Linked DNA regions of Lonchura striata. The protein of the gene in region 2 purifies or fractionates together with the protein of the main gene of each other region. This does not show direct contact. Links are inferred from orthologs where the notes say so. Each region holds a gene or a part of one and is shown on either strand. Other genes may lie near its edges.

Region 1 (7,426 bases), on a different chromosome or scaffold from region 2:
TTAATCCCACCCATCACCTCCTTGCTGCTTTAAAACAGGCACAAGGACAATTGTTTTAAGAAGCTCTAGCTGCTGCCTGGGGAATGGATTGGATTTTGCCCTGGGGGCAGCCAGGTGCTTTGCTGGTGTCTCACAGAAGGTGTCCCTGCAGTGGAGCCCTTGGTCCTGGATTGATGCAGAGGCACCCTGCAGCCTGGCCACTGAGCTGGCTGGACAGCAGATGACATGATGCCTTGAGCTGCTATTGTATGGAATTAGCCACTGAGCTGTGACCATTGTAAACCAGACAAAACCACCACTTCACCTGCTGCTCTTGGCCTGTTTTCCAGCAAGGAACAAAGCTCAGGAGCAACTCAACTCTGAGCACCATTTTGTCCTTCACTGCTTCTCACATCTCCTCCAAATGAGTTTGTATGTTGTATGCTCTTCCTCACACCTGGAAAATCTCTCCCAGCTCTGCTGGCAGGTCTAATCTTTCTCTGTTCTTGCTTTAAATACCTTTTATGTCCTTCTCCTTTCATTCAGCCTTTTGATGTTACAGCTTCCCCTCCTCTGCCTGCGTAAAGGCAAAAGTTCTGTTTCCAGAATGGATCTCACCTGCCCAGGGTTGTGCTCACTGTGAGAGGCCACGGGGACAGATTCCCACCTGATGTGGATCATACGGGTCTGCTGGGGTGATACACGACCATGGGTCACAGAAAACATGGTGAATAAGGAACACTGTTCTCTGGTTTTCACTACAAGAGTGAGATCAGGCAGAACCTGCTCCAGGTCAGCCCAAACCAACAGGGAGCTGCTTCCACACGCTGTATGGTCCAACTGCAGAGCTCCTCACCCAGGACACTACAAACTGAGCACCTGGACACCTTACGAGAGAACAAAGCCCACAGGAGACATGAAATACTGAGAACTCTCCTGAGGTTCAGACACTCCCCAAGCTGGAGACCTTTTCCTAAGCTGGAAATTGGGAAAGTATTCTGGGAATACCTTGGTATTCTGGGAATACCCTGTACCCTTCCCTGAGCAAACCCTGCAAGCTGCTGCAGGGGACAGCACCCGGGGATGGGTGGGGCTGGCACCTGGCCCAGGGCAGATCTTCATCCCAGCAGTGAAGTCACAGCACCCTGAGTGTCAGTGCAGGTCTGGACAGGCAGAGGATGAGCCCAGCACTCCCACAGGTGGCACAGCAGGAGAAGGAACCTCCAGAGAGCATCTGGTGCTCACCAGCAGCTGGCTCTGACAGCCAGGCAAATCCAGCTGCTGCTGCAGGGCAGGAGCTCACCCACACTCACCTCTGCGCTTCAGCAGCAGCTCAGCAGCTGCTGGGACAAGACATCCATGGAGTTGTTCAAAGGAAAGGTTTCATTACAACATCTGGCAGTGAAACAGAAGCCAACTGACACTGCCAAAGACAAGGTGGTTTGTCTTGATTTTCTTTCGATTATCAAACTCCATGTCCATTTGGCTAAATTAGACAAAAACTGCTCTCCCATTTTCCTCTAATTTTTGTCAGCAGACTGATGTAAAGCCCTACAGAAGAAGTATGACCAAGTTATATCAGTATCACCCTTTCTACTTCATGAAAACCTACATACACCAAGACTGAAACACACATGGGTTAAGTTAAACATCATCTGATTATTGCTTAGTGTCAGAACAGCTCCGATTGTGTAGAACTGCAGCAGCAAACTCATATATTAATCATTGAAGAACAGCTCACGTACAAAGAGAAGTGTTTGATGTCATCATCTGGCTCAACAGAAACACAGCTAGGCAACAGGAGCCTACAATGAACTGCCTTTAACTGACAGGCTTTGGTGTTTGCATAAGGAATCTTCTATTAGAAAGTTGCCTTTTTGAATTCCAAGGAGTTCCTTGCTTTAGAAATATTTTGGACAGCACGAACAAAAGCTTCTTGTCTGAGATACTATATAGGAAACAGCATTAAAGACAAAAGCTAATATGTGATTGCAGACTCTATTTTGAAAATGCCTCCTGAGGAACAGTTGGTTATTGGAAATATTTTTAAAGCAATTTATTCACAGATTTCCAAGACAGTCTGCACTGCTCATGTTCTCTGAATCAACCAAGCTCCAGTTCTTACAGGATCACCCAGTACCAGCACAAATGACTGTCTCAGACATCTCCCCGGGCTCTCCCTTAAGGGTCACCGGGAATGAGCAATGAATTGAGGCAATAGTAAAATGATGCATTCAGCTGCCTGAATCCTTTTGTGAATGAAGAAGGGTCTGATCAATTCCTATTTACCTCAGCACACTCTTGGTTTCGGAATGGACTTTGGGGGTTCATCGCTGCCTAGCAGGGAATGTTAATGCTTCCATTAATGCTCCATGTAAAAAACTCGGAGCAGGTATTTGGAGAGATGGGAACAAGAAGGAACAGATTATTATCAAGCACTGCTGACAGGAAGCCATTGGCACCGGAGAAGGTGAGGCTGGACTGATCAGACAGCCACCGTCTGCGAGAGAACATTTCATTAAACACGGAAAACAAACAGGACCCGCTTGCCGTGGAGCAGCAGCGCTGGGTGACTCATGCAATTGAACCACCCTGACTCGAACCTGTTGAAGATCTTGGCCCAGCCTTCCCTTTTCAGCACGAATCCGACTAGAGACGTGTCGGTAACCCCCGGGCCGCTGGATAAACACGGCGGGAGCCCACCCGTGCGCTCAGGTGCGGCAGCGGGTCCGACGGGCGGTGCTGCCGCAGCTCCGGCTCCTGCCGAGCCCCCGCCCTGGCAGCCGCGCCCGCCCCCGTGCCCGTGCCCCCCCCCGCGGCACAAGGGCCCCCGAGAGCCGCAGGTGCTCCGCAGCCCTCCGGTACTCACATGGCGAGCGGGGGGCGAGCGGCCGCGCCGGCTCCCTCTCCAGCAAAGATGGCTTTCGGCTCCGCGCCCGCTGCCAGCCGGCTCCTACTGTTGCAGGCACTGTTGTTGGGAGAGGAGGGGTAGGCACCGGCTACTGAGCATGCCTGCGCCTCGCATCAGCGGCTGGGAGCCGAGGCGAGGCTCGGAGCGCCCTGCACGCCCTCCCGGCCGCGGAGCGCCCCGAGCCCGCGGGGGCAGCGCCGGGCCCCGCGCTGGGCGCGGCCACCGCAGCGCTCGCTCGGCCGGCACCTGCGGGCCAGGGGGGAGCCGCGGGGTGTTGCCTTAACAACCTTCCTGCTGCCCCTCCTCGCTAGGAAGAAACGTTTTTTAAAGGAGGAGAATGACGGAAGGTGCTGCCGTTCGATCCCACGCTGCCGTGCGTGTCGTTTCATCCACTTGTGGATGAAAACCCACGGAGCAAATCCAGAGACAGATAAGCTACCAGATCAAGCACTGATTCTGGAAAGGTTATGTCTCAGAGGAAGTACAGCCCTTGCTTCTGGTTTAGATGTCACCTCACATTCGCCCTCAATCCAGGCATCCAGCCTCACCCTCCGTGAATATCAGCACCCCCCTGCGTGCCCCATTCCCCTGTGCAGAACTGAAACTCTGCAACAGCACGTCTTCCTCTGCATGCAAACCAAGGCCTTCACGTACTCTGAACAGAGGTGAAGGAATAAGAAAGTCTGCGTGGTTTTTTAAGAAGTGGTATTTAACACTGCTGCCCCAATGATACCTTGTTCATTTGTGAAAAGATGCTTCACCTGTCACTGCCTTCACTAATTTTCCATGGGTGTCAGTGGCAGCCAGCCCTGGCCTTTCCAACCAGGTATTTGGGTAAGGCAAGTACCTAGCAAGCTTTGCTAGGTACCTAGACCTCAAATCTTGGGGTGCCTGTTGGGAATAAAGTGCAACAGTGTCATCAGATCAAATCTGTGCTTTCTGATGTGGAAATCTAAGAAAAGGTGAATTGTTCCTCAAAGCAATAGGCAAAAGCACCCCAGTTACTGGGAGTGAGGAAGGCATCAATGCAAATTTCTTAGCTTGTTATCAGCCAGCTGAGTATTTTCATGCAGAATGTAGCCAGGGAATGTGACAGCACCCACAGCCCAGACACCAGGACACCCAGCTCCTGCCCAGATCTGGGCTCAGGTGTTATCACAGCCTGGCTCAGATGTAAGCCATGGGCTGTCAGCTCTGAAGGGATCCAGCTCTCTGGGGAAGTATGGAACTCCTCAGAGTGACACTCACAGGAACCTCTCCCTTCTCTTCTGCTGCCTGAGAGCTTGTTCACTGCATTAAAGACTCCTCATACCTCCTGCCACTGCATTCTGTCTCTTCTGCTGGAGCCAATTGTCTGCATGAATGAATAAATACCACTTGGACATTTTGGGCACCACTTCGAGCCTTAGGTTTTTCAATCATAGATCACACTCATGAGAGCCTGGCCATAGAAACCTTTCCTGATGGAAGTAAAAAACACTTCAAACTGTATTTTCTCTATGTGAAGATAGAGTTTCAACCAATTGGCACGCCCTGATGACAATCAGGAGATGCCCAACTTTATCCACCCACAGATTACTTAGCTCAGCAATTCTCATCTGGAATTCCTCCTTCCTTCTGTGCCGAGGAGAGTTTACTTTTCAGCTATCCTAGACAAAGATACATTCATGTCATATATTATATATATGATTGTTTGTATGATATATTTACGTGATTATTTGTGTGATGCCACAGCAGCACCCACACTCAGGCCAGCACCAAACACAGGCACAACCTGATACCAGGAGCATTCTCACCTTCATCTTTAAACACAAGCCACACCTGAATATTGAGAAAGTAACAAGTCATTCCTGACTTGTGAGGTCAGGAGCTTCTGGGACAGAGACGTCTTCCACCAGACCTTTCTGCCCATTCTGTGGTCTCACTTCCACCCATGCAGGGTGGAACAAGTGCTGGTGCTAGACCAAAGCTCACAAGTCTCCAAAAAAAACCAAAACCAAAACCAACCAAACAAAAAAAACTCCCCCCCCCCAAAAAAAAAAAAAACCTGGAAGACTCCAAATCCAACATATTGAAAAGTTTTATTATACAAACTATCCAGAGCAAATGAAGCAAATGATAGTGTTTGTGCTGACCCCATGCCACCTTTATCCCTATTGAAGGGGAACAGAAAATATCCACACAAGCATAAAGGTGAAATGGCAGTCAGGAAACTTAGAAATCAGAAATTAGCAGAAGCATTCCACTACAGGGAAAACACCTCAGACCTTGTGAGCACAGTGCAGAATCAGCTAAAGCTACCCCAGTGCCCCAGATCATCTGGCTGTGGCTTCCTCCAGAGTGGTAACAGAGAGGTCTCTAAACCAGATTAAACAACATCATTGCACTGTAGCTGCTAAAAATAGAATTTCGTACCAGCTAATGAAGGCATCACCATTCCAATCCAAGAAGGCTCACAATCCTGAGGAAAAGCCACAGCTGATCTGGGGGACATTTCCTATAGCCCTACATTCCCTGAAGCTTGCAGATTGCCATTAAAGGCCACCAAACCCTTTGGTGTTAGAAGAGATGCAGAGACACCCTGTGGTGGCAAAACTAGTATGACCAGAATGAGTCCAAACAGCTTAAATGTCATTTAAGTCACAGAACTGAATCAGAAAATCTGCATCCTGGTGACACAGAGAAATTGTCCCCCCGTTGCTATCCAAATAGTTTCTCTGGAACTCCTCTCCTGTCTGGCATCTTTTGCTCTGTCTGTTTGCACTGCCACAGAGATTTTCCCTCTTGTTCTGTTTGGTGTAACAACAACAGCAGGATCAGGGCTGGTGCAGTTGGAGGCTATGAAAATGCTCCACTTTTGGAAAATAACTTCCTACATCTTCATCCCGCCCCTCTTGGGTATTGAAAACAATCAGTCTGCTTTGTAAACTCTTGGGGTTTTATCCCGTCCATAATTTGTATTTTATCCTGAAGCAAAATTTTGTTTATGAAGGCAGTTTCAGAGCCACCAATACACTGCTGAGGATGTTCCAGAATGAAAGCCAACCAGCCACCATCATAAGTGGAAATCAATTCTGGCACCTGGAGTCTTGCAGGTGCTATAATTTGCTTATAATTATCTAGGGGCAACCTGGAGATAGAAGACTGAGGCTCCTGAAAATCTTATATACTGCTGTTACATGATCTTCACCTGAGGGAAATGTATTTTCTCGTGGATCTGCAAGTAGGATCCCCACACAGAGGAGTCATCATGTAGTCCACAGCTTTATAGAGTACCCATACAATAGAGTAAATCTCAGGGCCAGCCACAGTAACACCAGTACTGGTTACTTTGGCTCACAAAACAAAACACTGTTAGTGCCAAATAAGAAGGCTGAGAGCAGTTAATTGGTTTATAGAAAGTAATGGTAATTAAGTTTCACAAGATTTAAGCAGAAAAGAAAAGCAAGGCAAATAAATCAATTATTCAAATGCTGCATTTTCAAATCTTCTGATCTGGCAGTGCATTTAAACAAAGTATAGGAGGAATTCCCCCTAAATCTCCAGAACTTATGCCACTGGAAATTCATCATAGCCAGACAAATTAATCCTTAAAAGAGAAATTAAACACTAGACATGTGCAAAGTACATTTTTCTCAGAAACTATTGCTCGAAAGGATTAAGAAAATATCTGTTCTATGTATCTTCAATCCTTTGTCAGTTCTACATGTTTATTTTAAGTAGTTTGTTTTCTTCTCTTGACTTTTTAGAAAAGTGGAATTGGTACTGAACGAGCCAGCCTTTGCAGCTCACTTCTCAGAAGCAAGGCAGATGCCTGCCTGCCCAGTTGCTGCCTCTATTAGCCACAGGTGGTCTGTTCTGCAGAGCTTCACTTCAGCACCACTGCTTGCCGAAAATGGGTCTTGCATTTGCAGATTATTTTGTCGCAAATTAAAACCTCAATCTGTATTTGTGGGGTGTGTAATTTCCTTTCACTCACAACTTCTATTAATTTCTTCACAGCATATTAGTGCTTTAGTGACCATTTCCTTTTACAGGTCAGTAAAGCATTTGTAATTCCTCTCAAAAATTGTCTTTTCTGCCATTTCTCTGAGAGATCCAGGTCCAGCTTACCTGGGTTCTGTTAAAACCCTGAGTAGTTCATTAGCAAGCCTGAGTAGCAAGGTGTGATGCTCTGTGCTCCTTCAAAGGATTTACAGTTCTTGTTAAAGTATATTATTGGATAATTTTGAAAACTTTGCAGGTATGATCCTACCAAGCATTTGCACAGTGAGGCCCACTCCCTCCTGCCTGTGTGTGTCCCTGTGGTAAAAACTGGGTACAGGGAACTCTGCTTAAAAGTCTGTGAGGGGCTGAGGAGGGAGAAGAGTAAAAGAAGAAAAGTTAAAAATTGTTGCCAATTTTGTTTTTAAGCCTTTGTGTGGTTTGATTTAGAAGATTTGTGGGAAGTATTTGTAGCAGACAGGAACAAGACAACAGACAGAGGAGGGGGGGGAGCATGACCCTCCAAGTCAAGCAACTAAAAGTTAATGCAAT
Region 2 (8,145 bases):
TGCACAGAATTTTCAAGTTTTCTTCAATACCAATAATCTTCTGGGACTTTTATATAAAAAGGCACATTTATATATATATAAGGCACTTCCATGGTAATGAAAGCTCTAGTAGGCAAGTTACATGACCTAAATATACTCTTCTTCAGCATTTAGCTGAGAAGCAATTCTAATGCTTATTTTCTCTAAGAAAAAAGAAAACTTAATTCCTTGCTTTATGACAGTCACAGCACATTAAGGCTGTGCTGTCCAAAGTACTCAAAACCCTTACTGATATTTATAAATTTAAGTTAACTGCAGGGTGCCACAAGGCCTGATAAAGTGCTTGTTCAACTCCAATTACACTATCCACATTTGGACAGGGAAAGGCTAACAAAAGTGACAAGTTTCCTAAAGCCAGACAGGTCTACTTGCACCAGATCAATATTGTTTTGATTGCTGGCACTTTCACAAACCCACCCTGAATAAGATTTTTGTTCTGCATCTCTGGCTAACAAGCAGTAGTTTTGTACCTCTGACAGGCTGAATACCTTTCAGAATTTTCAATGCAATTCAGAAATGGCTATATCAATTACATTTGCTACAGACTATAAATTACTTCCTTACCATCTGAAGGTCCTCTGTTTGCACCTATCCCTTTGCCTGTGAAGTTATGCTTTTAATCAATATCACAAACTTCCTCCTTCACTGATAACTTGTAAACTGGGGGAGAAGGAAACAGCCTATCCAGTGCATCTACAAGTAGGATTGAGAAATACAGTCTATGCCTTCTTACCACAAAGATAGGAACTAGCTGGTGGCACAACCCAGCTGTTGCAGCAACTGACTGGAAGCCACTATCTCATGAGCTGCATTTTTAGCTGTCAGTAAATTGGTGCAGCCTCAGGTGATTGTGGATGCTCTCAGTTCCTTCTCTTGTAAAGGGAGCTGTTGCCTTCCCCAAAAGATTGAAAAAATAATGAAACAATATTCTTAGATATGTAAATGTCAAGTATTAATTTCCTGTGCATGCTTACAAAGATCAAAATTAGATCGTTACAGAAAACTTAGTTTTTTAAAACCCTTCCTTAACACAAACAACCATCCCACTTGCTAGTTAGCTGAAATTCAGCCCAGCTAATGCAGGCACAAGGTATCGGCACCAGAATGTACTCCTCCAGATGATTATGGCTACAAGAAAAATGAATAAAGCATCTGTGGCCCTGGAGGAAGAGGCCAGGGCCCACGACCAAGACACTACTCGGCGTGCTTCCTGCTTTCCCTTATCAGCTTCCTGAACACACTGCACAAAGGCGATAGCACAAAGAATAGGCGCTACCAATGCCACCTCCTCTGTGCAGTTCAGTTCTACACTCACATCAACAACTCATTTTTGCCCCTGAAAAAGCCTCATGAAACCTCCTCCAGATCAGAATCTGGCCAATAGAAATTCACAGTCAAACTTGGATCCATTTAATGACAGCAAGAGATTCCATTTCTCCTAAAGACACAAACTACTATAGATTCCATTTCTCCTAAAGACACAAACTACTATATAATAACCTACTTCAAAAACTGCAGAGCAGAGGAGGGCAGGCACATAGACTAGCTACTAGACTGCCAGTAAGCAATTAAGTGCTCAATTAGATCAATCAAGCAAGCAATTGATAACAGAAGTGGCTTTTCCTTTGTCCCTAAACAGCTGTTCCCTCTACAGCACAGAATCATGTTTGTTTATGAAGAGGAAGTAAAACAGCACCCTTAGCTCTAAACACTGAGCATCCAGTACCCTTTCTAAGAGAACAAAAAAGAAAAGTTAGGCAAATAGAGAAGTTGCATAAAGAAATTTCCGAAGTTCCTTTAGGTTTACTTAGAGTGTCAAGTCATGTGCTGACTTCACATTAACTGAAACAGAAAGAGAAAAAAGGGAAAAAAAGCGAAAAATAAAGCTGACTCATTAGGAGCTTCCCAGAAGGACCAAGGGCATTGAGACGTACAAGTGAAAGAAGCACAAGAAGCACTTCGATTCTTATTGTTTACTACATTGACACTACAGCATTTTACAGATTAGTCTAAAGGCAGCAGACACAACACATAAGCTTAATAAGAAGCAACAAGAGGTGGGTTTTCTCCTGGACGCTACTAACAGCGCAATTCACGGGCTCTCGCCAAGCAATCAAAAACCACCTGGACACGGCACTGCCGCCCCCGGTATGGGCGAGCCCACGAGGCCTCCCCGCACACAGCTGAGGCGGGGGCTCGGAGGGCCCGGGCCCGGATCCCGGCCGCCCCATTACCCAGCACAGCCGACATAGGACGGCAACCGCACCGGGCCAGGCCCGCCTCGCCCCACAGCGGCCCCCGGCAGCCGCAGGGCGCCAGGCGGCGCGGAGGAGGACGGGACCGGAACGGACAGCCTGACACCTTACCTGGGGCGCCGCAAGCTGCCACAGCCCAACCCGTCACACACCCACCGCCGCTCCCTCGCGCCGGGCCGGGCCGCCCCCTTAAGCTCGCATGTCCCGCCCGTCCCCGCCGCCCCCGGAAGCGGCGCCCGCCCCGCCCCGCCCCGCTCACCGCCGCTCCCAGTGCGGCGGAGGAACGCGCCGCCCGCAGCGCCCTCACACGGCGGCGGGCGGGAACGGCGGCCTGCCCACCCGGCATGGCGGCGCGCGGGGCTGCCCTGCCTGCTGCCCTGCCCCTCGGGTGTCAGTGCCGGCTGGGCAGTGCCCGCGGTCCGCCCGTGCCGACCGCAGCTGCGGCAGCAAACAGTGCAGTCAAGAAGCGGCCTTATTTGTATCGGTGGGGTTTTTCTCCAGTTACTATTCTCTACTAGGACGATGAGTGTCAGTCCCCTTCTGTCACCAGTGGAGAGGAGGGCAGAAAGGGAAAGCTGCTGTTCGCAATCACCGACCTCATCCTTTTCAGCTGAACCGCGCAGCCTTTCCTGAGGTATATTCCTTCTCAGGTGTGGATAAGTTCTTCTCAGAGGTTGGTGTCACATCCCGCACCTGCTGTAGGACTGTAAGCACTGTAAACGCAGCCGGTAGTTTTCACAGCATCAGCTTACGTGGCTCCTAAAGTCCCCTCTTCCAGTGAAACTGCTGCTGAGCTCTCAGAACTCGGTCTTGGTTTCCCTTGTCTCTCTCAGCATCTGGGGGGAGTTTGGCCTCGTGAAAGGTCCCAGTGGAGTAAGGCTTACCGCACACTGCACAGCCCGCGCCCTTCCCCTCCTGCCTTAAGAACTGTCCCTGGAGCACATTTCCCAGGGGCAGCCGCCCTGCCCAGCGTGATGTCCACAGCGTCTCGCTGCTGAGATACCCGCCGTCTGCAGCGTCTGATTTGTAGAGCGGTAACACGTAGCACTAAGCGTGTTTAAAGCGCTGTATTTACACACAACAACAATAACCTCTATTACCATTATCTGCTGGTGAATGCCCCCAGCCGGCCGGTGCTGGTGCCCCCGCCATTAAGTTGGTTCGCCTGTCGGCTGTCCACGGCGGTCGGGACTGCATTTCCCGGCAGGCCCCGCGGGCACGCAGGCGTGCCGCCCAGCGTGCAGCGCGGCCCCTTCCCGCCGGCCCATTGGTGGCCGCGCCGTGCCCCGCCGAACCGCGCGGTGCTGCGGGCCGGGCCCGGTGCGCGCCGTGCCGGCACCGCTCCCGGGCGGCGGTGGCCGGGCCTCCTCGGCCCCACGGGGGAATGGGCTGCCGGGCTGCTGCCCTGCAGAGGGGTGGGATCCGTGAGTACCGGGGCTGTGCGGGGCAGAGGGCTTGGGGAGAGCGGTGGTGGCCGGGGGCGATGGGGGTTGCTGCGGCTCCGGCGGAGTGGGCGGCCTGTGGAGGGCGGCAGGGCGAGCCCGGCCGAGAGGGGCTGCGGCAGCGGCATCTCGCCTTGGGGCGGGCATGCGCTGTGCTTTGCCTCGTGAGCATCCCCTACTGCTGTTGTGATCCTGGACTTTGATGCCCTGCTGTAGAACAGGGGCGTTAGGGCGGAGGCGTCTCTGTGCCAGGTGTGTAGCTGCCCTAATGCCTCTTCATACTTGCCAGAAGTGTTTCCGGGGATGAAGTGTGACTGAATATAGGTTGTTTAGCTGCCTTCCTCATAAGCAAATATCTAAAAATGTGTTGTAGTGAAATCATGTATCAGTTTAGTGATAAATATCTGGTAACTTTAAAGGAATGGGACTGACAGCGTGAAACAAGTCATAATAGTATGATGAAATATGGGGTGTTTAAAAGTAATCCTTCATCATTGCACACAGGGTGGTTCAAATCCAAACGTACATAAAGAACTGCTTGGGTGTGCATATGGATGTCAGTTTGTAAAAGTTTATGAAATATTGGATACAAGTGACATAAATTATTGAAGTTCATTCTTCAGTATACTTCATTGATGGTTAAAGTTCATGCTTCAGTATAGATGGAGGTTTGGTAATAATCTTCTCATGCAGGTAAAAACCTTCTTTCTCACCTTCCCTTCTACACCTGATGAACTTTAAAGAACAGATAGGTTCTGAGGTGGTGTGTCCTAAGAGAGAATAGAATTGAGAATTTATGGACTTTGTTTTCAACATGAATTTCCAGGCTTACATGTCCTACATCTCTGTTGCTTATTGCTGTTCTTCAGTTATTTGCTACTTCTTTCAGTTAAACCTTAATTACTGCATTTAACAAATTGGCTGTTTTGCTGAACTGACAAATCCTGGCCTAAAAAAAACCCCAAATACTTAAGCCTTCCAAAAATTTATTAATAGCTTTGCTGAAGTTTAGAAGCTTATTCCCATTAGCATTGCAGTATTTGGGATTACTACTGCAAGTTCTAAGGGCCAATGCAATGTGTCTCTGTAACTTTTTACCTTGGAAAATAGATTTCTATCCTGAAGTAGCTCCTGTTAAAAACAACTGAATTGTGTTTTGTTTTTTTTTAAAGTCCTTGCTCGATTTCAGCTGAACTGGCAGTAAAAGGCAGCTGCACTTGCACTACTTGATGTGTTCCACTAATGACTGATTTTTGTATGTAAAGTTAGCTAAATAGGTGCTATACTCTGGCATTTTCAGTTTGGAGAAAGACATTGGTTTTACCCAAATTTTGTTCGCATGTTACCTAAGTCTGTTTGGTCACTGTGACCAGACTTCAGGCAGCTTCTATTCCCTATGTTCAAAAATATCACATATGTGAAGAGATGTCAGCTAAAGACATTTTAATTCCTGCAGAACTGTCAATCCAGTACAGAGTAACAGCAGTCCTCTAAATGCATACCTAAATTGTATACAGAGATACAACTTGTAGTATCTAGGTAAATCTATCAATTTTCTTTCCATCTTATCTTGAAAAAACTAATAAGATATCCAGAATAAAATGTAAATTTGTTCAGGATCAAATTTAAAATGTTGAAGTTTTTTTTTAGCATGTGGTAATCCTCCTCTGTGAACTCTGCCACCAGATGGTGTCATAAGATTTGAGGTGTTATCTGGCTCAAGTTGAGTCTAGCAAAGTAAAAGGATACTATACCTTACAAGTAACTTCTTTGTTTTTATAAAGCTATGTTTTATATTTGTAATGTAAGGTTTTTGAGTTTCTTTCATCAAGTCCCAGAATATTTTACATTTTGATCTTATTGTGGTAGAGCTGCTGGTGTTCAGCCCTGAGATAAACTACATTACAGAGATATACTAATTTAGGCAGAGCCCTGTATTTCTATTACCTGGTCATTAATGACTACTATCTTAGTATTTGAAATCCTTAACTTGAGTTTTCTTGGCATGAAAGCTGTTTATACTGAAAAGTGACTTGAGTACCTTGGTTTGAATGTTTCAAATCACCCTCCAGTGATTCTTCATACTCTGTAATGACAATATAAATAGAAGAAGCCAAATTACTTACTGAATGCTCTCCCTGCTTGTTCTCTTGTGTCTATACAGATCTTTTGTGGGGAGTCTGAGTTATTTTGACAAGGCCAGGTATCTGTTACTGTGGAACTGCAATAGATAGGATACATAGAGTAATCTGTTTTGATGTGGCTTTTGATCCTTGTTTTTAACTTATTAGTGAAAGAGACATTGTATGAATACCTAGGAAGGATATGATGAGCTTAAATAGCCTAGGAAAGGGGAAAAATTATACAACTTAATGTTACAGAAGTAAGTGTAAAATTAAGTGTTGGGTATTTCTGTCATTCTTACAAGGTCTGTAAAGTGAAGACCCTTTATAAAGTGACTCAAGGTTACCAGAATAAGTTGATGAGAATTCTTTTGTAAGTCACAGTAGTATTTAAATTATTAGATTTAAATGTTTAAATCTAAAATTTAATTGGGTTGTTTTTTGCCACATCTTGTGGATCACTATGTTGCTTCTTAGTAAGAGTTTGTCTCAGGCATTATGAATTGTGTTTGAGGCTGTAGTAGTAGTAGGGATACACAGACAACTCCCTTCTCCTAAGGGTGCACATAGGGATGTTAGCTGAAGTGCTACATCTGTTTTTGAACAATCCTTTTAAGTGCTTTGGGCAGTTTGGAAAGGGGAATAGCTATTTTAATAAGCTCAGGAAATGTGATGTTTGAGGAGAACATCTGGAGAAAACAAAACTTTCATATGCCTTAAACCAAATAGGGAGTATGGGAGAAGACAGAAGCTTTCCAGGTGTGTGGATTTTACATGTTCTAAGTGACAGCATACAGCAATAATGCTGTACAGTTCTTCATTCCAGTTTGGACAGAATAGATTCCTGAATCTTCTGGTGTGTGAGAAGCTCTCATGAGAAAGATAGAAGGCATTTAGTTTTACTAGAGAGAAATTATCATCTTGATTTACAGCAAGGAAAACTTACTTTGTATATTAAGAAATTATTAGCATTCCTTATGTATAGGAGTTGGAAAGATGCAGTTTGGTTGTGGCTTAAAGTGTATATCTGGTCTGTGCTCTGTTCTGAGACTTACGTGAAATAAAAATAGAAGTCAGTGAAAACTCTGTTCCTGCCAGGTGTTCTGTGCCTCTGCTGGTCTGTTTAAGATATTTCTCTGTGGTGCCCTTATCTCCAGTAGACTTTCCCTGTATGTTGTAAAAATCCCAGCCATACTTATGAGATAGCACTCATTTTCTGCTAGATGTTTTCTAAGCCAGGTAGTGAAGTAAATGTTATTGCTTTTAACAGGAGCTTAAAGAACTTTGATCTGTGAAATAACTCTTTTTTTCCTGGCTTGATGTCAAAACAGTTGAGCACTTGTCTGCCCAATTAAACATTTGCTGTGTAGTGGTGCTGCTTCAGTGCTCAGGGGTCTAGACTACCCTTAGATTGTCACATGGATAAAATTAAATCTTGGAAAGCAGGGAGAAATTTACCTTTAAAGCTTTGTACTCTGGTACAAGTATTTTAACTTCTGGAGTGTGATACAGTTTTCTCCTTTGCCCTGTAAAAATAAGAAACCAACTACAAAGTAGTTTGTACAGTGCCTGACAGTGTGCTGGGGGAGAATCATGTTGTTAGTCATGACTTAACTTTAGTAAATCCTTAAGTTTTCGTTTTTTGCCTGGGTTTAGGTTGCACAGATCAACATCTCAGAAGGAAAGTTAGTGCCTCACACATGTGCTCAGAAGGAGGGTTAAGGTAATTAGTAGACGTTATGGTCTGGCGGGGATGTGTAGTAAATTCAGATGCTTGAAGGGCAACAAATCTTGGAAGGGAAGATAATCTCTGAATGATGGTGCTTTATTCCATGTAAATTCTGCAGGAGGTGATGAAATTGGAACATAGGGCTCTGTACTATTACTGTTACTATTCTACAGTTCAGCTGATGTGCGTGCAATTGGTTGCTGCAGGAGAGAAGTCACTGAGGCACTAGGAGTGACATCTCTGCAAGGAGCTGAGCATGTTGCTGCAGAAAATTCTGCACAGTGATTTTGTAGCCTCCTGTTCTTCTCAAGTGTTGAGTTTCCACTGTTCTCTGTAGGGGCATGCAGCATTTAGGCAGGCTTTTGGACAGGCCAGTGCTGCTGATCTCTTTGAAGCCTTCTGAGGATTTCTAGGCAGCTGGAATGCCAGGCTGCATACCCCACTCCATGGCACTCGTGGCTTTATATAGTCGGAATGTTCAGCCACTCATCTGTAGCAGATTTAATCTTGACGTACATTTTTAATGTATGTTATCCGCTAAGGTTGAATAACTATGG

What was found. The genes of interacting proteins can lie anywhere in the genome.
Region 1: the proteins of SNAP23 (region 2) and VAMP2 purify together in Homo sapiens (affinity purification with western blotting; 4 studies listed by BioGRID and IntAct, with this or other methods). This does not show direct contact. The link is inferred for Lonchura striata from reciprocal best matches to the Homo sapiens genes SNAP23 and VAMP2.

The regions. Positions count from the first base shown.
Region 1 is NC_134612.1:2,059,557-2,066,982, reverse strand, and holds the start of VAMP2 (vesicle-associated membrane protein 2), read right to left. Parts: upstream 3,072-7,426; 5' UTR 2,851-3,071; coding exon 2,849-2,850; intron 1-2,848. UniProt on the Homo sapiens protein: Involved in the targeting and/or fusion of transport vesicles to their target membrane. Major SNARE protein of synaptic vesicles which mediates fusion of synaptic vesicles to release neurotransmitters.
Region 2 is NC_134608.1:36,271,314-36,279,458, forward strand, and holds the start of SNAP23 (synaptosomal-associated protein 23), read right to left. Parts: upstream 3,030-8,145; 5' UTR 2,891-3,029; intron 2,514-2,890; exon of another isoform or gene 2,406-2,513; intron 1-2,405. UniProt on the Homo sapiens protein: Essential component of the high affinity receptor for the general membrane fusion machinery and an important regulator of transport vesicle docking and fusion.